3 linked regions of the Callithrix jacchus genome follow. Each later gene encodes a partner of the first gene's protein in a complex. Links are inferred from orthologs where the notes say so. Each region holds a gene or a part of one and is shown in the gene's direction. Other genes may lie near its edges. The genes, in order: GRK1, RCVRN and RHO.

Region 1 (7,445 bases):
TGGGTGTAACATGATTTCTATCAAAATCCAAGCATGGTGTTTTTGGTAGATATATACAAGATTATTTTAAAGTTTATATAGAAAAGCAAAGGAACTGAAATAAGTAAATATTTTCTTGCATATTTTGAACATAGGGTTTTTTGAAAAACAAGAATAAAGTGGGAGGACTCAGTCTACCCAATCTCAAAGCTTATTATGTATCTACAGTAATCAAGATTGTGTGGTCAGAGGGAGACACACAGATCAATGGGACAGAAGAGAGAACTCAGAGGTGGGACCCGCACGATATGAGCAACTGACTTCTGAGAAAAGCGCAAAAGGAATTCGATGAAGGAAAAATGGCCGTTTCAACAAATGGTGCTGAAGCAATTGGATGTCCATTGGCCAAAGGGGGAGGAAAAGGAGTCTCGACCTCTTAAACCTTATACAAAAATTAACTCAGCGTGGATATGAACGTAAATGTAAATTGTAAAACTATAAAGCTTTTAGGAAAAAGATGGGAGAAAATCTTCAAGTTCCAGGGCTAGACAACATCAAAAACACGATCCATAATATTTATATTCCACAAAATTTAAAACTTCTGCCCTGTGAAAGCCCATATAGAAAGGAGGCAGAGACAAGCTATCACTGGGAGAGGATATTCGAAAGCCGTGTGTCTGACAAAGGAGTCGTATGTGGTATCGACAGAATCTCAAGTCTCGTGACAGGAAAGCAAAGAATCCAGTTGTGACACAGTCAGAAGACATGAAGAGACCTGTCACCCAAGAGCACGCACAGATGGCCGTCAGCACGAGCAAAGGCGTTCGTCTACCGTTAGGGAAATGTGAATTAAAACCTTATGGAAATACCCCACACCTGCCGGGAGGGTGGCAGCGCTAAACCCTGGGGAGGACCCTGAGGAGGGAGCTGCTCGCCCTCGCTGGTGGGAACGGGAAATGGCTTGGCCACTCCAGAAAAGAGCTTGCAGGTGTCTTCAAAACTAAATGTGCAATTACTGTGTGACCCAGCATTTATCCCAGAGAAATAGAAACGTGTGTCCACACAGAGGCTACACCGATGTCCACAGCAGCTTCATTCACGATAGCTAAACACGGGAAAAGACCCAGGCGTCCTGCAGCCGGTGAACGGAAACAGGCTGCGGCGCCTCTTCCGCGGAGCACAACTCGGAGGTGAGGAGGGAGTGGCTGACACACCCAGGTGTGGGTGTTCCCGTGGACGACTGTGCTGAGTGAAAGATTCGGACCCTAAAAGGCCACATCCTGTCTGACTCCATTCATACAGCGTTCCTGGAGAAGGGGTGGTTGCCGGGTGTTGAGAAGGACAGGCTGGAGGAACATGGGTGCCATTTGTGAGGGGCCCAGGAGGGTCTCATGGATGGAGGCAGCCTTCGTCTAGACCGTATGGATGTCAGTATCCTCGTTACTTGGCAAGATGCCATCACTACGGGAAACGGAGTGAAGGACCTCTCTGGATTGTTTTTTAACACTGCATGTAAATCTATAATTATCACAAAATAGTTTAATTAGAAAGGGATTTCCAGAGCCAAATGAATTTGGGAAACTGTGTACTTCTTTTTTGAGAGCCACGTTCACCCTGAAATCACTAAGTAAGCTCTGTGATGGGCATATTTAACATATTTTTAACTTTGCTTGTTTAACATATTTAACCTGGTTTAACCAAATGCTTCTCAACATGACCACACGTGGAACAGCCTCCAATCCAATGGGAAACTGTCCTCCTCAGACCCTGCATCTCCGCAGCATCCGCATCACCTGCGGACTTCTTTACAGGTGCACGATCTTGGCCTCTTGAAGCAGAGTCTTTATTCTAGCAAAGTCTCTGGGCAATCTGTGTCCGTAGATGTTTGAGGTGTGGCCCAGGACAGGCAGGGAGACATCAGCAGAGGCGACTTCACTTCACAAAGCTCTGCAGTTGCCCTGATGGGTGAGCAGGCAGGAAGGAGTTAAAGTGATCAGCCCAAGGTCACCAAGGTCACCGCTGTGAAGGGCAGGGCTGGGCCCCTGCAGGGCTCCTGGGATATCACTCAGCTCAAATATTTACTCATGATCCACCTGCCAAAGCTCTCTGGAGGCCATAGGGACCTCGCCTCAGCCTCTTTGGTTGCTACAGAGGACCCTGCACCCAGGTGCAGCCCTGGTGCCCTCCCACAGGTGCCTTTTCTCCTTTGTCGAACATGGTGGGCTGGCGGTCTCAACTTCTGCTCGCTCTGCCATTCTTCCTTTCTGGGATCCTTTGCTTTTTCTCTGTGTGAGTTGGACCCAACACCCTGCTCACATCTCCTCATTCTTCTCCAAACCTTATGTAGTACCTACTGTGTGCTGGAATAAGACAGGCAGGGCCATGCCCTCATGAAGCTGACACTCCTATTGGTGCGACCATCTGCAGGTGTGTCACAGGTGTGTCCCAGGTGTGCCACAAGTGTCTCGGGTATGTCCTACCTGTCCCCCAGGTGCATCCCAGGTGTGTCCCAGCTGTCCCCCAGGTATGTCCCAGGGGTGTCTCAGGTGTGTCCCAGCTGTCCCTGTCTGTCCCAGATGTGCCCCAGGTGGGTCCCAGTTGTCTCCCAGATGTCTCAGGTGTGTTCCAGCTGTCCCCCAGATGTGCCCCAGATGTGCCCCAGGTGTGTCCTAGGTATGCCTCAGATGTGTTTCAGGTGTGCCCCAGCTGCCCCAGGTGTGTCCTAGGTGGATTCCAACTGTGCCTCAGCTGCATTTTAGGTGTTTCAGGCATGGCCCAGGTGTGCTCCAGCTGTCTCAAGTGTGCCCCAGGTGTTCCCCAGCTGTGTTCCAGGTGTGTCCCAGGTGGATTCCAGGTGTGCCCCAGCTCTCAGGTGTGTCACAGGTGTGTCCCAGGTGTGCCCAGGTGTCTCAAGTGTGTCCCAGCTGTCCCCAGATGTGCCCCAGGTGTGCCCCAGCAGTCTCAGCTATCTCAGGTGTGCCCAGGTATGCCCCAGGTGTGCCCCAGGTATGTCCCAGGTGTGCCCCAGCTGCCCCAGGTGTGTCCTGGGTGGGTCCCAAGTGTGCTCCAGCTGCATTTTAGGTATTTCAGGTGTTCCTCAGATGTACTCCAGGTGTGTCCCAGGTGTGCCCCAGGTGTGCTCCAGCTGTCTCAGGTGTGCCCAGGTGTTTCCCCAGCTGTGTCCCAGGTGTGTCTTGGGTGGATTCCAGCTGTACCCCAGCTGTGTCCCGGGTGTGCCCCAGCTGTATTCCACATGTGCCCTTCTGAGTGGAGCCTTGGTTTGGTGTAGCTCTGGGGATCTTCTGCTCCCTGGTGCTGGTGTCACCTGCAACTATCTCTGGGCAATACTGCCTTGCCTGCAAATGCCAGGTGAGTAGAAGAAAAGTGACGGGAGTTGAACCCTCCATAAGAGCTGGTGTCCCCACAGAAAGCTGTTCCCCCCAGGAAGCTTTTCACTGTGGGCTTGTTTCCTCTCTAAATTCCTATTATCAGGTGGTTTTCTTCTCACTTGCTATTTTCTTAAAAATAAAAATGAAATAGAGCAGGGAAAACAGCCTTCATAAATTAAGGTTTCTTCTCGTACCACACTCTCCTGTCCGGCCCCTTGGGAGTGGCTGCGGCAGTTCAGAACACAGCTTTGAGTGCCTCTCCAGCCCGGGGCCCCAGAAGCCTGGGGGTTGTTTGTTCTCAGGGGAAAAGCCACGCGGCCCCTCGGAGGAAGGGGCTGGGCAGAATGTCTAATCGGATTCCAAGCGGCTCAGGGGATTGTCTTTTTCTAGCACCTTCTTGCCTCTCCTAAGCGTCCTCAGTGACCCCAACTGGGATTTAGCCTGGTGCAGTGTCAGCTCTGGGCTCCCAGGGGCTCCCCAGTGGTCCCCAGGCACCCTTGGCACGGCCAGGGCATCTCCCTCGTCCAGCAAGGGCAGGGGCGGGCCACAGGCCAAGGGGAGCAGTCAGGCCTGCTCTGGCTGTGAGTGCCGCAGGCTTGGCCTCGGCCAATGGGCCCTCACGCCTGAGGCGGGCAGGAAGCCAGCTCCGGGATGGATTTCGGGTCCCTGGAGACTGTGGTGGCCAACTCTGCGTTCATCGCCGCCCGAGGCAGCTTTGACGGGAGCAGCTCCCAGTCCTCCCGGGACAAGAAGTACCTGGCCAAGCTCAAGCTGCCCCCGCTGTCCAAGTGTGAGTCCCTCCGCAGCAGCCTCAGCCTGGAGTTCGAGAGCGTGTGCGTGCAGCAGCCCATCGGCAAGAAGCTCTTCTGGCAGTTCCTGCAGTCGGGGGAGAAGCACCTGCCGGCCCTGGAGCTCTGGAAAGACATCGAGGACTACGACACAGTGGACAACGACCTCCGGCCGCAGAAGGCCAAGACCATACTGGCCCAGTACCTGGACCCTCAGGCCAAGCTCTTCTGCAGCTTCCTGGATGAGGGGTCGGTGACCAAGTGTAAGGAAGGGTCTGTGGAGAGCCAAGACAGGCTCTTCCAGCCTGTGCTACAGGCCACCCTGGCACACCTGAGCCAAGCCCCCTTCCAGGAGTACCTGGACAGCCTGCACTTCCTGAGGTTCCTGCAGTGGAAGTGGCTGGAAGCCCAGCCCATGGGGGAGGACTGGTTCCTGGACTTCAGGGTCCTGGGGAAAGGCGGCTTCGGGGAGGTGTCGGCCTGCCAGATGAAGGCCACCGGCAAGCTGTACGCCTGCAAGAAGCTGAACAAAAAGCGGCTGAAGAAGAGGAAGGGCTACCAGGTGAGCCGCACGGCCCAGCTGGCATGGGTGGGAGCAGGGTGGAGAGGGCCCAGGTCGCCCTCAGCGACCGGAGGAGGAAGGGCTACCAGGTGAGCCGCACGGCCCAGCTGGCAGGGGTGGGAGCAGGGTGGAGAGGGCCCAGGTCGTCCTCAGCGGCCCGAGGAGGAAGGGCTACCAGGTGAGACGCACGGCCCAGCTGGCAGGGGTGGGAGCAGGGTGGAGAGGGCCCAGGTCGCCCTCAGCGGCCGGAGGAGGAAGGGCTACCGGGTGAGCCGCATGGCCTAGCTGGCAGGGGTGGGCGCAGGGTGGAGAGGGCCCAGGTCGCCCTCAGCGGCCGGAGGAGGAAGGGCTACCAGGTGAGCCGCACGGCCCAGCTGGCAGGGGTGGGAGCAGGGTGGAGAGGGCCCCCAGGTCGCCCTCAGCAGCTGGTGCCTAAGGCACGCCAGCCTCGACACTGGGATCCCTGTGACCATGCGCTCACAGGCAGTTAGCATCCGTCTCCCTTGGAGAGTGGCTTCCACGTTTTTGGGTGGGGATGTGTCACGTTCAGTTGTCAGTTTTTCACCAGTCACAGAATAGATGGAAAGAGGGCCTCGCAGAGGAGGCTGTGGACGGCGGGGGTCTCCGGATTCTTTGTCCTGACTGCGGAAGACTTTCTGTCCCTGGCTCTGATCATAGCAGAGAATGCAGGAGGAACTGAGGCAGGATGGAGGCGGAGGCAGCCTCGCTCTGATGACTCGTTTGTGTGAGACGGACGGAGCCTGGTGTGATGCCAGGTGCAGGGACTGTTTCCCCGAGTGTGGCTGTTCTCTGGGGTGGGAGTGAGTGACAGGCATGCCGGTGGTGCTGAGTTTCATCCGCTCTGCCCCGCTGGCGTCAGACTGTGCATCTGGGCCAGGATCAGCAGAAGCTGCTTACAGGTCTTAAGGGCAAGATGCAGTGGCCGTGCCGGGCGTGGATGTGATCTCCTGAGCCAGCCCCCTGCACTTCGGCTCCACGAGGCTCCTGGCCTCTCTCCTACCGCGCAGCCATGTTGAGGGCACGGGAAGCTCTCAGGGCAAAGCAGCAGCTGCTGTGCACCCTGGCTCTGCAGGCCCTCAGCCCTGAGTGAAGGCAAAATATCAGGTGCTCGTGGCGCTGGGCAGAGGCCCCGGAACACCTGGGTGTTCTCACCGTGGAACTCAGGGGGAGTAGCCGTGCCGTGTGCTTGTAGCAGTGATTCTAAAAATGAGCTTTCTTGACATCTGATTCTCACACCATGCCATTCACATCTACCTGTCAGTTTAACCCAACAATTAGCCTCTTCTCCTGACTTCGGTCACCTGACTGAACTTCATACTGAGACCAACTGAACACCTCCCCATGAAGTGCAGACAGAGGGGCCTCCTCCTCTAGCCGCAATTCCTTCTTCAAAGAGGGGTGTGCTGTCCTGACCCACACACTTATAGGTTGAGCATCAACCTGTAAGTTGGAGCATCGTGAGGTCTCACAGACAAAATAAAGCAGAGTCGTGAGGAGGTTTGGGAGGCGCTGGGCTGTGAGCCCAGCCCCCGGGGCCAGGACGAGAGGGGGCTGTGGCTGCAGGACTGCTGGGCAGGCCAGGCTGCTGGCGTCCTCATCCGTGTTGCTCAGCCTTGGGCTCGAGCCTCACCTTGCCGGAGGCTGGCCCAGAAGGCCAGAAGCCCCTGTATGTGAAGGATTTCACATGTGTGATTTTCTGATATAGGGGTGCGGGCATGTTTTGAAGTCCTTTGCAATTGCTTTGTGAAAGCTGCATTTAAAGTGTGTTTGCAACTCTGTTTAGTGGCTGTGGGTGCAGTGGGCATGGCCGTGTGCACACGGTCTCTGCGATGCCCTGGCCCCTTTCCTGTTCAAAGCCAGCACTGATGCAACATCTCACTTTTCAGGGTGCTATGGTGGAGAAGAAGATTCTGATGAAGGTGCACAACAGGTTCATCGTGTCTCTGGCATACGCATTTGAAACCAAAGCCGACCTCTGTCTAGTGATGACCATCATGAACGGAGGCGACCTCAGGTAAGGGCTGGTCAGGAAGGTGCCAGGGGACCTGCTTTCCCACTGTGTCAGGGTTTCCAGGGTCTGATGGGGCTGCTTCCCATGTGCAGAGCCATGGCAGCCAAGCCCTGCCCTCAAGGGAAAGCCTTGCCCCCATCACAGTCCCCTTCTCACTGTCTGCAGGCGCTGGTCCCTGAAACAATGCACCTCGGACCCACGTCAGTGCAGGAGCCCGGGAGGTGCCCAACCTGCCAGTCAGGGCACATCCTGTGTGCACCCTGGTGTGTGGGGGGCAGGTGGTGCCTCAGGGGACAAATGATGCAGTGGGGGGGCCTCTGCAGGGCTGGGGGCCTTGCACCAGGAGGGTAAATGAAGATGGACTTCACCAGCACCCACTCGTAGGGCTGACGCCGGAGCTGGAGACAAGACCAATTGGGGGCCGTGGCTTTGCTGTGCCCTGGCAGAGAGGAGGTGCCACTGCCTCCACAAAGTCCTGGCCCCAGATCTGCCTCTGAGGCAGGCCCCAGGCCCGGGTGGGAGATCAGATCTCAGGCTCGCAGTGGGGCAGAGACCTGCTTGGTACCTGGCCCTTGGCCACTGCTTGCTCTGTTTTCTGGTCTGTACGGTGGGGAGAGATAATACTTATGTTCAAAGATTGTTGGAAGATTCAGACAACGTGTGTGAAATACCCAGAGTGTCTGGTACCTGTAAGG
Region 2 (7,445 bases), on another chromosome or scaffold:
CAGGCTGCTGCCAACCTGGGTCCAGCTCCTTCCTCCTGTGCCCGGCTGGCCGGAGAGAACAGCAAAGACGCAGCCCCTGGCTGCCTTCTGCCTCACCCGGGACCTCTTTCATTGCCGTGGCAACCCCAGCTCCTCACCTCCTTGTCCTCCAGGCTCAGGCCTCCTGTGGTGTAGACAAAGGAAGCCTCAATAGTGTTGGACAGTGCAGGCCTAGACTCCTGCAGTCTTTATCACGCAATGTGAAAATGAAGAGTCAGGGAACGTCTGGGACCCATCCACTCCCCTACTCATTCATGTGCCTACAGCTTCTGATGTAAAGTCAAACAAGAAATGGCCAGTGTCACCAGGAAGCGTGCAGTTTCACGCCTTACCCTAAAAGGTGAGCTGGCAACCTAAAAGGAACTGGGATCTGTCAGTTTGTTCCGGGTCTCAAACTGAGGGCCGCAGGCTGTGTGTGCCATTTGATTTTGCCTGTCCTGTTTCTCAGACAACAATCTAGCCAGACAGTTGTCAGGCCTGGGCTTTCCTTCCTCCTGGCATCCCCATTTAGCAACATGTGACTCCGGACTGGCGACATGCCTTTAGGAGCATCCACGTCTCACCCATCACACTGGCCTGGCCATCTGCAGGCTTGATGCCGACAGGAGTGTGATCCAGGAAGCGCTTCCCTTGGCCTCCCACTTGCAGCTCAGAGCAAAGGGCCGAGGCCTCTGGCCTCACACTCCCTACATCCCCAGAGCTGCCTCAGGGCGGCAAGGAAGCTCTGGAAGTGAATGCGATTCCAAAGTGTGGCTTGGGCTCGCTTGGTTCATTTGTTTTTGAGATTGGTGACCGTCCTATTTCTAACTGCTCTTGAGAATAAATGCACACTGCAGGATGGTGAAAGCCTAGGAGAGAAAGGAGTCCTGTTAAGAAATTATATTTTCTCACAAAGTGATGGGAAACATTAGAAAGTACACACACACACACACACACACACACACCAACATTCAGGTTTCTTGAGAAACTTCTGAAATTGCAGTGAGCAGGGTGGCTGGGAGGGATGAGTCAGTCCCTCAGTGCCTGAATCTCTCATTCCTTCCTGAGCGACATCAGGTGGGCCTGGCAGGTGGCCTTCTCCCAGCAGCAAGGACCTACCTTCTGCTGCCACTAGCCTGTTAGGAAGTAGGCTAAAACCCACACATTACACCTTGAGATTCGAGGCAGGTGGATCATCTGATGTCAGGAGTTCGAGACCAGCCTGACCAATATGGTGAAACCCCGACTCTACTAAAAGAAAAAAAGAAAGAAAAAGAAAAAACTCAGCTGAGCATGGTGGCAGACATCTGTAGTCCCAGCTTCTCTGGGGGCTGATACAGGAGAATTGTTTGAATCCAGGAGGCAGAGGTTGCAGTGAACCAAGATTGTACCACTGCACTCCAGCCTAAACAATGGAGGTAGACTCGATCTAAAAAAAATACACTTTACCTGCCTGAAGACTGAAGGGTTTATTCTTCATGATTCTCACCCCAGGGCAAAAAGTGACAACTCTCCATCCACAGTGGCAAGGCTGGGGTTCTGAGTGTGTCCTGACCGCCCCCATTCCCTCACCCCCTGTGAAGCATTGCTCTCTGCTAAGCAAAGTGCACGCCCACACTCCCTTCCCTCTGGGTGATAAGAATCCAGGTGTGCAGCATCCTCACTGCTCAGTCGGTACTCCCCTGGGATGCGAAGCCTGCCCTCACACACCTCCCTCTCTTGGCCACTCAGGGATTTACCCATTCACTCAGCAAACACATTTTCCTGCCTGCTCACTCCCAGCGCTGTGCTCCGCTGCAGACGGGCATGGAGCCACAGATAGATTGTGTTTAGCCCACACCGTGTTTTTGAAAATTTCCAATCAATTGCCAAAGCTGAAAAGTGTGCAAACTGCATCTAAAACTCTGATTTTTTTATTTCTCTTAAATCATTTAAAAAAAAAAAAATCACGATCCCATGGGACCACATTTGCTGGCAGCCCCTTCTCAAGGCGACACAGGCCTGGCTGCTCCCTGCTGTCCCTCCCACCTGCTGGCCACCCGCCGACAGGGAGTTTACCTTCACTCTCTGTGACCGATGAACAGCAAGAAAACGAGTAAGTGTTTAGCATTAGCTGTGTGCCAGGTTCTATTCTAAGCGTGTCGCACGTATTGACTCACTTCAGCCCCACCATGATGGTGAGGTAGACGCTATGATGCCCATTTATTCAAGAAAGACTTACTGGGGGCCCAAGCTTGTCAGGCACTGTTCTGGCCATGGAAATGCATCTGGGAACAACACAGACAAAATCCCGTCTTTCAGGAGCTTTCATTCTGGTGAGGGGACATGGGGCATGCCAATGATGGTGTGCTGTTATAGATAGAGGGTCAGTATACATAGGCCTAGCCAGGAAGGTGACATTTAAGCAGAAACGTGACTGCAGTGAAGGATTAGAAGATTGTCCCAGGTGGAAAGAGGTTAAGAAACATGCCTGAGGTCACATAGCTAGTTAAGTAGCCAAGCTGGGATTTGAACCAATGTTGGCTCCAGAGCCTGTGCTCCTAACAACTGAATTCTAGGGCTCAGTGGGAGATGCCAGCCCTCCCTGAGACACTCAGAGTTAGTAAGGAAGAGAAACAGGGAACATGGTTGCCTTAGAGCTCTAGTGGTACAAGAGCTCTGAAGGTTCCAACCTCCTGTTTTGTTCTGGTATCCTTCCAGGAGGCCAAGATGAATTGCCTGCCTGCCCTGGGCTCTTTGCTTTAATCTCAATAGCGTTCTGGGAGCATCCCCCCACCGCCCTCCCCACCACCACCACCTCCACAAAGCTCCTGGGCCCCTCCTCCCTTCAAGGATTGGGAAGAACTGGTCTCAAATCCTCCTAAGCCACCAGCATCTCCGTCTTCAGCTCACAGCAGCCCTGAGCCCCAGCCTGCAGCCAGGGCACCACACACGTCCCACCCACCCAGCGACTCCCCAGCTGCTGCCCACTCTTCCTTACCCATGGGGAACAGCAAAAGTGGGGCCCTGTCCAAGGAGATCCTGGAGGAGCTGCAGCTGAACACCAAGTTCTCAGAGGAGGAGCTGTCCACCTGGTACCAGTCCTTCCTGAGAGACTGCCCCAGCGGCCGCATCACCCAGCAGCAGTTCCAGAACATCTACTCCAAGTTCTTCCCCGATGCTGACCCCAAGGCCTACGCCCAGCATGTGTTCCGCAGCTTCGATTCCAACCTCGACGGCACCCTGGACTTCAAGGAGTACATCATCGCCCTGCATATGACCACCGCGGGCAAGACCAACCAGAAGCTGGAGTGGGCCTTCTCCCTCTATGACGTGGATGGCAATGGGACCATCAGCAAGAATGAAGTGCTGGAGATCGTCCTAGTCAGTGTCCCTCTCCCCTTCTGGCTGGGTGGTGCTGGGGTCACTCAGGGCTGGGGAGTCCCCTGCTGCGGCTGCTGCAGTGGGAGTAGAGCTGTGGGTGGAGGGGGGATTCAGGCCACACTGGCTCTGAGAGAGTGGTGCTCCAAGATGCTGATATTGGTAAGAGGGGTGGGCACTTGCCCACAGCTTCATTTTCTTCCTGAAGAAGAATCTGAGTGTTTTCTAATACAGTCCTGTGACGCGTGGCTTAGCCATGTTCAGGTCAACAATAGACCATATATATCATTGTGGTCCCATGAAATCGTAATGGAGCTGAAAAATTCCTATTGTCTAGTGATGTCATAGCAAAGTTACTTGATTTTTCAAATGCATTTAGTGTAGCCTAAGTGTAGAGCATCTAGAAAGTCTGCAGTAGAGTACAGTAATGTCCTGGGTGTTCACATGCACTCCCCACTCACTCACTGACTCACCCAGAGCGACTCCCAATCCTGCAAGCTCCCCTCAAGGTAAGTGCCCTAGACAGGTCTTTATACTGTATTTTTACTGTATGATTTCTATATTTAAATACATTTAGATCCACAAATACTAACCATCATGTGATAACTGCCTGCAGCATTCAGGACAGCCACATGCTGCATGGGTTTGTAGCCTAGGAGCAAAAGGCTGGACCACCGAGTCAGGGGGTGTTGTAGGCTCCACTCTCTGGGTTTGTGTGAGGACGCTGTATGATGTCCCCACCTGGAAACTGCCTAATGATGTGTTTCTCAGAATGTATTCCTGTCTTTGAGTGACACGTGACTATATTTACATTTTTTTTCTCTCTCTCCATCCTTCGTTTCGTCCTTCCTTTATTAAAATGTCCTTTAGGCCAGGCAAGGTGGCTCACGCCTGTAATCCCAGCACTTTGGGAGGCCAAGGTGGGCAGATCACCTAAGGTCAGGAGTTTGAGACCAGCCTGACCAACATGGAAAGACCCCATCTCTACTAAAAATACAAGATTAGCCGTATGTGGTGGTGCATGCCTGTAATCTCAGCTACTCGGGAGGCTGAGGCAGGAGAATCGCTTGAACCCAAGAGGTGGAGGTTGTGGTGAGCTGAGATTGCGCCATTGCACTCCAGCCTGGGCAACAAGAACAAAACTCCATCTCAAACAAAGAAACAAACAAAAAAGTCCTTTAAAATTTTCAGCAGTACACATTCAAGTTGAATCAATGATTAATTCTAAACACACAATATGCTTCAAATATAAAGTCGAAAAAGGTCAAAGTTGAGTAAACTCTGAGTTCTAGTCTTAAGGTTCTCCCCAGCGCCAGGTGGGTCACCGCACCACCCGCACCACCCGCACCACGCATGAGCCCCCGCTTCCCACATGCGGCGGCTCCTTGGCAGGTTCCTTGGCTCCTGGCAGGTTCCCTGTGAGGCACACATGCTTCCACATGGTTCCCAGCACACCTTCTCCATCCATAGTGTCCTCATGTGAGATCCTTTGTTGTGAAAGCAATGGCAAAAACCACAATTACTTTGCACCAACCTAATAGGTGTCTTGAAAATGGTTTATCTGTTAGAAGTAACTGATGAAATTTAAAAGCATAGGCAAAAGAGACTAAAAACTGCCTCTAATTCCAACATCCAGGGAAAACTTTTCTTGCTGTATCAATAGGAACCTTTTCAGTCTTTTATCTATATAATTTTAAACAATGTTAAAGCTATGACATATTCACATATGATTTTTATCATACATTTTCTTTTATCATGAGTGCTTTCCATATCATTACATATTCTTCCAAAACACTTCTTTTTTCTTCAGACAGAGTTTTGCTCTTGTCGCCCAGGCTGGAGTGCAGTGGCATGATCTCAGCTCACTGCAGCCTCTGCCTCACAGGTTCAAGCAATTCTCCTGTCCTGCCTCAGCCTCCCAAGCAGCTGCGATTACTGGCACCTGGCACTACACCCAGCTAATTTCTGTATTTTCAGTAGAGATGGGTTTTTGCCATGTTGGCCAGGCTGGTGTTGAATGCCTGACCTCATATAATACACCCACCTCGGTCTCCCAAAGTGCTGTGATTATAGGCATAAGCCTCCGCACCCAACCTCTTCCAAAACACTTTTAATAGCTGTTTGGAGTTCTAGCTTACGGAAATGTGGAAATTATTTAACATTCCTATGTTTTTGGACATTAGGGTGTTTCCATTTCTTTCCTATTTTACCAGTTCTCATTTCCTTCATTTGATATTTTTTACTTGTTCTTTTTCAGTCCTGCTGCCCCTGCCATTGGTTTATTGTTCTAATTCCATTTCTGTTAGTAGACAGACTGTTTTGTGCATTTTTAATCATGCTTTCATTTGCATGACTGCAAATGCACGAAAATCTTCCACTTTTATTAGGAGAAACCATAAATAAAACAGCAAAGCATACGGCTTGTGGTCCATGGGTTTATGCTCAGTGCTCGGCTCGGGTCTCCTGTTCCGGCAGGTATGTGTCACCCTCATTGCTATCTCAGCACAGCCTGCAGAGGAGCTCCCCAGGATTGGTTGTGGGGTCTCTGGGTGGCCTGGGACAGGGACTAAGTCTTCAGAGATGCATAAAAAATGCGGGGCCTAGCAGAAGCCTACAAATGGATACTCCTTGAAGAAAAGGCGGATGGAGGGAAAGAGGCGGGATAGGAGTCAGGAAGGAAAGAGAGGGAAGCAAGGGGGAGGAAAGAAGGGAGGGAGGAGAAGGAAAGGAGGAGAGAAAAGAAGAAAGAAGAAAGGGAGGGAGGGAGAAGCCATCAGTGGCTGAGGCTGTGCAAGGTGACAGAAGGCTCTGCTATTCACCAGATTACAAGTTCATGGGCAGAGCACTCCGTGGGGGAGTCACAAGTGAAGGATTCTAGCCCCTGCTCTGATTCCAACTAGCTGTGTTGCTGTGGGAAAACCATATAACCTTCCTGGACCCAGGGTGAGGATTTGATTATTTTTGAAGCCTTTTCTAAGACCCTGAAGGTCTGTCCCTCCATGTTGGAAGTGGGGTGGGCAGGCAGTCACTCCCAGCTTCAGCTGGCACACCTGCACATGGTACCCCAGGCCCTGCACAGACCAAGATGAGTGTGGGAGGCACCTACTTGTGTCCACCTCAGGGCTCTGGGTGCTGCCAGCAAGGCTGCTGCCTTGGGCTGCTGCCTTTGGTCTCCCTGCTCCTTTTTCCAGCACCAGGGGGCTGAAGGAGAACTTCTCAAAGCCTTCCCTCAAGAATAATTTCATAGCCATTATTGCCCCTGCCTGACCTGCTCACAGGTGTCTCCAGGGAGACAAAAGGCTCTGGCCAGAGCCAGTAACCTCCCAACTCCCACCCAACATACCTGCCTGTCCTCAGCATCCAAGGACCTACTGCCTTGGGTGTCCCTTCTGGACCTGGCTGGCACTGGTGTTCCTGGGCCAGTGGAATCCTAGAAACTTGGAGCTGGAAGGGTGCTCCTTTGTCCCTGCATCTCACAGGTCTGGGGCACTTCATGCTTCCCCTATACTGCATACCCAGCTGCTTTATTAGGGGGGAGGGAGGTGAGAAGGATGGGATCCTTGATCCCAAAGCTAAGCCTTTCTCTGAATCCCTCCTTGAGCAGAAGGTTAAATGAGGGGCTTCCCGTGCCATAGGAAGACCTTTGAAACGTTCTTGTTGATGCCTTCCTCTCCCTCCCCCAGGCTTGCCCAATGCCCTCCAGGCCCTTCCAGTAATAAGGAGGTGAGTGGGCTATGGCATAACCCAGGGTGTACCAGTTCTAGAACTAAAATGCCTGGGTTCAAATCTCTGCCCTTCTACTTCTAGCTGGGTGACTTCCAGCAAGTTAGTTGTCTCAATTTCTTCTTCCATAAAATGGGACCGATAAAGCCTTCTTCATAAGGTTATTGTGAAGATGAGGTGTAAAAATCTTTAGAAAAGTGATAACTAGGCCAGGCATAGTGGCCCATGCCTATAATCCAAGCACTTTGGGAGGCCAAGGTGAAAGGATCTCTTGTGCTCAGGAGTTTGAGACCAGCCTGGGCAACACAGTGAGACCCCATCTCTACAAAAAAATTCAAAAAATT
Region 3 (7,445 bases), on another chromosome or scaffold:
TGAGGACAGGAAGCAGAGGCTGCAGTGGGCTATGATTGCGCCACTGTGCTCCAGCCTGAGTGACAGAGTGAGACCTTGTCTCAAAATTTTTTTTCTTTCTCAAGCTTTACAAATACAGAGCACTGCCATGTCAGTGATGGCTCTTATTTCCTCATCACCAGGACTCCATGAGATTGAGATTGTGAAACTCACAAGAGAGGAAACTGAGACAGAGAGCGGAAGAACTGGGATCATCAGGTCCATTCCCCCACTCACTCCCTCATTCAACAAATATTCAGGGAGCACCTTCTAGGTGCCAGGCTCTGGAGGCATGTCAGTGAACAAAACAGCCAACATCCCACCTCTTTCCACCACAGGCCAGGTGCCATGCTGGGCTCTGGGAACCCTGTTGTGAACAAGACAGACCCAGGCCCACCCTTGTGGACTCACGTTGCAGGCAGGGAGACCGGCACAAAACTCATGCACAGAACACAAAAGGCTTCATGCTGTCAGAAGCACCAGGCAACAGGCAAGGCGCCAAGGTGCTGCTAAGCTGTGTAGGGCAGGGGCTCAGCCCTTCCAGGGAGGGGCCGGGTGTGGGTCAGTCTTGACCCAAGGCATCCAGGACACCCTCCTTCTGGCCATGAGGGTCCACATCAGAATCAAACTCCCACCTTAACCTCATTAGCGTTGGGCATAATCACCAGGCCAAACACCTTAAACTCCAGGAGGTCCCATCCCACCCGCCCTGCCTCAGCACTGCCACGTGTGCCAAGCCCTGTTAGACCCAACACTGCCCAGGCCAGGCAGGGGGCTAGAGCCCAGGTGGGCTGCAGGGAAGGGGGCACCCTTCTGAACAGACAGATCTAGGAATCCTGGGTGAGAGAGAGATTAAGGGACACTTTCCTGGCCTCAGGGCTCTGCACTCGCAGGGGTCCCTCTGCCCGGATGACCTTCCCCTGAAGCTTCCGCCTGTTGTTCCGGCTCTCCACTCAAGCTCCAGCTTCTCAGAGAAGCCTCCTGTGTTGGGAGTGGCTGTGACTGAACTGTCCTCACTCTTACTCGCTCCATTATTCTTTTGTGGTCCCTGTGTCCCCACCCCCACAGAAACACTGGCTTCTTATGGGGAAGGGAGCTTGCTCTTTTGTGTCCCCCGAGTGGAGACTCAGGGGGGACACAAGCACCTTGTCTGGGCCACAGTAGGTGCTCAGTACACATGCTGGCTGGACGGTGGTCACTGAGTGTTCGAACATCAGGCACTCTCAGCACCTGCACAGGCCACCCTGGCCACCCCACTTCATTCCTAGGAGGTGACATCGTGTTCCTTGGATAGCTTGAAGAGGGAGATCTACCTCCATTTGCCCCCAGGCCATCTGCCCCCAAGGCTCTGACTACTTTCTTTCCCACAGTGCATCCTGCTGTCCTGGAACCAGCCCTCATGGGGCCACCTGGCACATGGCATCTGAGACCCTCGTGGTTGACCAGACCTTCCCTAACAGGACCCTGTCTGCTGCCTCCAGGATGGGCCTCCCCTTCAGACTGGAGTCCCTGAGGGGCTCTGTCTCTCCCCTGCTCTGGTAGCCCCCTCCATCCTCCCTCCCTCCACTTTAGCTTTGGAGACATTTGAGTCACCTTTCTACCCCAGAGATCTGCCCAAGCCACTGCCCACTTCCCTCTGGATAAAGCCATGTTACTCGACTTGCTGTTCAAGACCCATCACAACTGCCCCCAGCCCGGGTCTTCCTCACCCGGCCACCTGGCAAACTGCTCCTTCTCCCAAAGGCCCAAACATGGCCTCCTGGGCTGCATTCCCCCAGGCAGTCAGACCCATCTCCACAACCTCACAGACACCCTGGGCGGAATCTGCTTCTTCCCAGTTCTGAGTCCTCCTCAGCCCCTGAGCTACTCTGGGCAGGTCTGTTTCTTTTCCATCTTTGTATTCCCAGGGGCCCACAGATAAATGTTTAATGAACAAACTCACAGAGTGAATTCCAATTCCATGCAACAATGATTGGGCTTCTGGGCCCCAGGCCATCTGTCTGGCACCAGGAACGGAAGCTGGAAGATGCAACCCCTGCCCTCGTGGAGCTCCTCTTGCAGGAGGAGTGTGGGGACTGGATGTGCCCAGAGGGAACAAACAGGTTAGGGGCTGTATAACGAGATGAGAGACTGGGAGAATAAACCCAAGAGCCTCTAGCTGTCCAGAAACTCTCAGTCCAGTCCAGACAAAGATCCGAAGTCAGCTCATATTAAGCCAGGAAAAATGGCACAGAGGCCCATGGTCCCCATTTCAGACCAAGGCCACCAGACTGAGTTGGGACCTTGGGACAGACAAGTCACATAGAAGTTAGGGGCCTTCTCCTCCCTTGCCCAAGGTCCTGAGTACCTCCCCTCCCTGACCTCAGGCTTCCTCCTGGTGTCACCTTGGACCTCTGGGAAGCCAATTAGGCCCTCCATTTCTGCAGCGGGGATTAATATGATTATGAACACCCCAATCTCTCAGATGCTGATTCAGCCAGGAGCTTAGGAGGGGGAGGTCACTTTATAAGGGTCTGCGGGGGGTGGGGGGGGTCAGAGCCCGGAGTCATCCAGCCGGAGCCCTGAGTGGCTGAGCTCAGGCCTTTGCAGCATTCTTGGGTGGGAGCAGCCGTGGGGCAACCACAAGGGCCACAGTCATGAATGGCACTGAAGGCCCTAACTTCTACGTGCCCTTCTCCAACGCGACGGGCGTGGTGCGCAGCCCCTTCGAGTACCCTCAGTACTACCTGGCAGAGCCATGGCAGTTCTCCATGCTGGCCGCCTACATGTTCCTGCTGATTGTGCTGGGCTTCCCCATCAACTTCCTCACGCTCTACGTCACCGTCCAGCACAAGAAGCTGCGCACGCCTCTCAACTACATCCTGCTCAACCTGGCCGTGGCTGACCTCTTCATGGTCTTCGGTGGCTTCACCACCACTCTCTACACCTCTCTGCATGGATACTTCATCTTCGGGCCCACAGGATGCAATGCGGAGGGCTTCTTTGCCACCCTGGGCGGTATGAGCCGGGTGCGGGTGGGGTGTGCAGGAGCCCGGGAGCATGGAGGGGTCTGGGACAGTCCCAGGCTTGGCGGTGGTGGCTGAGAGGACTTCTCTCTTCTCCTCTCCTGTCAGCATTATCTGAAGCCCTCATATATTCAGTCAACAAACACCGTTTCGTGGTGATATCTGGGCAATTTGTGCAGGGCTGGCACTGAACACTGCCTTGATCTTATTTGGAGCAAGGCGCTCGTCTCATTTCACAGCAAGGAAACTGAGCTGAGGCTCAAAGAAGTCGAGCGCCCTGCTGGGGGTCACACAGGGATGGAGCTGAGTTTGAAGCTCGCATCTGTGTTGCTCCTTGGGCCATGTTCGGAACACCAAGCCTCTGTTTCCCTCGGAGCAGCTGGGCTGGGTCAGACCCAGGCTGGGCACCAAGGGGAGAGCTGGGCAAGCCAGACACCTCCTTTCTGGGGGCCCCAGCCCGGGGCAGGAAGCGGATTCTCCATCCTCCGGTCATTGGGTCTTCCCTGTGCTGGGCGTTGGGCCGGTCCCCTCTGGCATCCTCTGCCTCTCCTCCCAGCCTCCTGTCCTTGGGTGCCCCTCCAGCCTCCCTGCCGTGCTCCTGGGCTCCTGGTGTTAAGAGCTGCACGCCGCCCCTCTGAAGCAACTCCTTTCACAGGTGATATGTGGCTGTGAAAGATGCTTTAGAATAATGTTTTGCTTTTAACAGGAAAATAAACGGGGGTGCTGCAGAGATAACAGATCTCACTTAACAGAGGGGAAAACTGAGGCAGGAGAGGGGAAGAGACTAATTTTGGGATGTGGCTGGGCAGCAGCAAGAGCCTAGGTCTTGGCACTGATCCAGGAATGTGTCCGCTGAGATGCAGGAGGAGACACTCATGGCAGCCATTGCAAAGCCAGGGTGACAGGGAGAGCTTAGCGCCAGCCACAAGCGTGGCTCTGCCAGCCTTGCCCCCTGGCCCCATGTCCAGGCAGCATCCTTGGCCCCACTCTCAGGGACTCTCTGGCCATTGTTGGGTGTTTAGTACATTCAATAATCAGAGATCGCCCAGTTCTGGCCAGAAGGTGGGGGTGCCACAAAGGGTGATTTTCCTCTGCAGGGTCAGTCCCAGTTTATAATTATCGTCCCATTCACTGTCAGGAGTGGTTGGTAAACTATATGGCCACTCTCCCTGTGGAACTTCGTGGGGTGGTGAGCAGGGCAGATGTCTGAATGCCATCGTTTCCTTCTTCTTCCTCTGTGCAAAACATTGCCTGATGCTTCATGGTTCCTAGGAGAGGGTCCCACATGCCCTGCATTATTTCATCTCCCGAGAGGGGAGAGGGAGGAAGGACCCCAACTCTGGGTTTCAGCCACCTCTGCATTCCTTCCCAACAAGGAACTCTGCCTCACACTTAAATGCATTCTTCTGTTAAAACACACACACACACACACACACACACACACACACACACACACCCCACCCTACCGGGTTCCCAGTCCAGTCATGACCTACTGATCTGATTCGTGTCTCTCATGCATCCAGAGCTCTAAGCAAATAACTTCCCCCATTCACTGAGTTTCTTTGCCCAGCTCCCCTCAGTGTGGGGTCCCTCTGCCCCTTCCTCCTCCTCCCAGTATCAAGCTCTCTCCTTCCTCAAGGGCTCTTCAGGGCCCTCTCTCGCTCCAGGTTGCTTTCCTAGCTACCCTCTCCTTGTCTAGGGGTAGTGCGCCCTCCTTAGACAGGCAGTGGGGTCAATGCTGACCGCCTGCTGGCTGCCTTGCAGGTGAAATTGCCCTGTGGTCCTTGGTGGTCCTGGCCATCGAGCGGTATGTGGTGGTGTGTAAGCCCATGAGCAACTTCCGCTTCGGGGAGAACCATGCCATCATGGGCGTTGCCTTCACCTGGGTCATGGCCCTGGCCTGCGCCGCACCGCCCCTCGCCGGCTGGTCCAGGTAATGGCATTGGGCAGAAGGGAAGGGGCTCCAGGGGCTCTCTGTAGGGTCCTCCAGTCAGGACTCAAACACAGTGCTGTCTGGTTCCAGACACTGACCTTGTAATGTCTTCTGGCCCAAATGCCCACCCAGGGTAGGGTGTAGGACAGAAGGAGGAACAGACTCTAAAGCTGCTGAAGGGCTGGTCCCACCTCCTGAGCTCCAAGTCAAAGAGAATCCAAGACATCCCAAGCCTTCACCTTGGCTGTGCCCCTAATCCTCAGCTAAGCCAGGCGCAAATTCCAATCCTCTTTGGTCTAGTGCCCCGGGAGCAGCCCCCTCTAACCTTGGGCCTCAGCAGTGGGGGAGGCCACGCCTTCCTAGTGCAGGTGGCCATATTGTGGCCCCTGGGAACTGGGTCCCATTTGGCCTCTAGGCAATTCCAAATGGGGCTGAGATGAGACACAGCGGGGACGGTGGTTTGGACATCAGGACTGGTGACTGGTCCCCAGAGGCCTCGTGTCCCTCTGCCTCCAGAAAATTCCCACTCTCACTTCCCTTTTCTCCTCAGACTGGCTAGGGTCCATTTCTTACCCCTTGCTGAATCTCAGCCCACCCCCTGGACTTTTTCCCCATCTTCTCCAGTCTGGCCTAGTTCCATCCTCTGGAATCACAGCCATTGGACGCTCTGGGTTTCCTGAGGCCATTTCACTGCCACCAACATCAGGAACCATTGCCACGTCCTAACCATGTGCCCTGGGAGCCTCTTGTTTCCAGAAGCTGCACAGAGATCCCTTAGATACCCTGTGTGTCTGTCTTTGGCCTGGAAAATACTCTCACCCTGGTGCTAGTTTGTACAAACTGCCGCAAATACAGAGCCTGAGGGCTCTCCCCTCGTCCTCACCAACCTCTGCCTGGCATAGCCTGAGGCTCAGCAGGCAGCGGATGCTGAGGCAGGGCACGCAGGGAGAGGCTAGGTCATGTCATCTGGTACCGCAGCCACCAAACAATGAAGCGACACTGATTCCACAAGGTGCATCTGCATCCCCACCGGATGCAGTCCATCCTGTCACCCAGCCACGCAGACCTTTATGATCCCCTTTCCAGGGAGGGAACAGGAAGCCCCAGAGAGGGCCAGTGCTTGGCAGGCACCTTGGCCGGGGCCATTCCCAAGTCCCTCACAGGCAAGGTCTCCCTACCTGCCTGTCTCAGGTACATCCCTGAGGGCCTGCAGTGCTCATGTGGAATCGACTACTACACGCTCAAGCCGGAGGTCAACAACGAGTCCTTTGTCATCTACATGTTCGTGGTCCACTTCACCATCCCCATGATTGTCATCTTCTTCTGCTATGGGCAGCTTGTCTTCACCGTCAAGGAGGTACGGGCTGGGGGTGGGTGGCCTCTGAGCGTCCAGCCCCCAACGCACATCTACAGCTCCTGCTCCTCGGAGGAGCCATGGTCTGGACCCGGGTCCCGTGTCCCTGCAGGCCGCCGCCCAGCAGCAGGAGTCGGCCACCACACAGAAGGCGGAGAAGGAGGTCACCCGGATGGTCATCATCATGGTCATCGCTTTCCTGATCTGCTGGGTGCCCTATGCCAGCGTGGCATTCTACATCTTCACACACCAGGGCTCCAACTTCGGTCCCATCTTCATGACCATCCCAGCGTTCTTCGCCAAGAGCGCCGCCATCTACAACCCTGTCATCTATATCATGATGAACAAGCAGGTGCCTACTGCGGGTGGGAGGGCCCCAGTGCCCCAGGCCACGGGCACTGCCTGCTAAGGATAAGCTATGTGCCAGGGCAGGGGAGGGGGCTCCATCAGGGCTACTGGCAGTGGGGCTCACGGGTCAGCAGTGTCAATGGGGAGCGTGTGAGAAATGCAGGTTCCTGGACCCCACCCAGACCTGCTGAATCTCAGGGTGGGCCCAGGAACCTGCATCACCAGCAAGCCCTCCAGGTGCCTCGGATCCTCACTCAGGTGTCAGAAGCTCCAGTCCAGATGGTTCTGGAAGCCTGATGTCAACGTCAGCAGGTCCCAGGCCGAGAATGGGATGGGCCAGTCTCCATAAAGCTGAATAAGGAGCTAAAAAATCTTATTCTGAAGGGTAAAGGGATAAGGCAGTCCCATAACAAAGAGCAAGTGGTTTCCCCGAGGAACCCAGAAGGGGGGAAACAGTCTCTGAAGTCAGCTCTGCCATTTTCCAGCTTGTGGCGCTGGGCAAGTCAGTTCCCCTCTCTGGGCCTTGGTTTCCTCATCCATAGAAAGGGCAAAACACCAAACTCTCAGATTACAGGAGAGAATTTGCAGCACACCCTTGGCACGCAGAGGGCACCATGAAATGTTGAGGGTGATGCAGTCCCCTATTGCTCGGTCCCTGGCATCTCTACGGGTGGGGAGTGTCTGCTTAGCAAGTTCCCTCCAGGAGGCCGGATTTGAGTGGAACTGTGAGGGGCACAAGCCGGGAAAGGGTTGGGGCAAACCTCACCAACGTGCCAGTTCCAAGCGC

The links.
Region 2: the proteins of GRK1 (region 1) and RCVRN are in contact, whole or in part, in an NMR structure (PDB 2I94), measured with the Bos taurus proteins. The link is inferred for Callithrix jacchus from reciprocal best matches to the Homo sapiens genes GRK1 and RCVRN. Residues at the interface, in NP_776598.1 of Bos taurus: Phe3, Gly4, Leu6, Glu7, Val9, Val10, Ala11, Asn12, Ser13, Ala14, Phe15, Ile16; in NP_776590.1 of Bos taurus: Lys22, Trp31, Ser34, Phe35, Glu38, Cys39, Phe49, Ile52, Tyr53, Lys55, Phe56, Phe57, Tyr86, Leu90, Thr93, Ser94, Phe188, Glu189.
Region 3: the proteins of GRK1 (region 1) and RHO are in contact, whole or in part, in a cryo-EM structure (PDB 7MT8), measured with the Bos taurus proteins. The link is inferred for Callithrix jacchus from reciprocal best matches to the Homo sapiens genes GRK1 and RHO. Residues at the interface, in NP_776598.1 of Bos taurus: Leu6, Glu7, Thr8, Val9, Val10, Ser13, Ala14, Ile16, Ala17, Ala18, Arg19, Gly20, Asp23, Ala24, Glu184, Asp185, Trp186, Phe187, Leu188, Asp189, Phe190, Val192, Arg195, Glu200, Gln205, Met206, Lys207, Lys221, Arg222, Thr256; in NP_001014890.1 of Bos taurus: Lys66, Lys67, Arg69, Thr70, Arg135, Val137, Val138, Val139, Lys141, Ser144, Asn145, Phe146, Arg147, Phe148, Glu150, His152, Leu226, Thr229, Val230, Ala233, Gln236, Gln237, Glu239, Thr243, Ala246, Val250, Met257, Ile305, Tyr306, Met309.

Annotation. Positions count from the first base shown.
Region 1 is NC_133502.1:29,135,019-29,142,463, forward strand, and holds the start of GRK1 (rhodopsin kinase GRK1), read left to right. Parts: upstream 1-3,847; 5' UTR 3,848-4,019; coding exon 4,020-4,718; intron 4,719-6,625; coding exon 6,626-6,753; intron 6,754-7,445. UniProt on the Homo sapiens protein: Retina-specific kinase involved in the signal turnoff via phosphorylation of rhodopsin (RHO), the G protein- coupled receptor that initiates the phototransduction cascade.
Region 2 is NC_133506.1:76,360,496-76,367,940, reverse strand, and holds the start of RCVRN (recoverin), read left to right. Parts: upstream 1-2,908; 5' UTR 2,909-3,000; coding exon 3,001-3,381; intron 3,382-7,445. UniProt on the Homo sapiens protein: Acts as a calcium sensor and regulates phototransduction of cone and rod photoreceptor cells. Modulates light sensitivity of cone photoreceptor in dark and dim conditions.
Region 3 is NC_133516.1:72,618,159-72,625,603, reverse strand, and holds the start of RHO (rhodopsin), read left to right. Parts: upstream 1-2,552; 5' UTR 2,553-2,654; coding exon 2,655-3,015; intron 3,016-4,787; coding exon 4,788-4,956; intron 4,957-6,147; coding exon 6,148-6,313; intron 6,314-6,422; coding exon 6,423-6,662; intron 6,663-7,445. UniProt on the Homo sapiens protein: Photoreceptor required for image-forming vision at low light intensity. Required for photoreceptor cell viability after birth.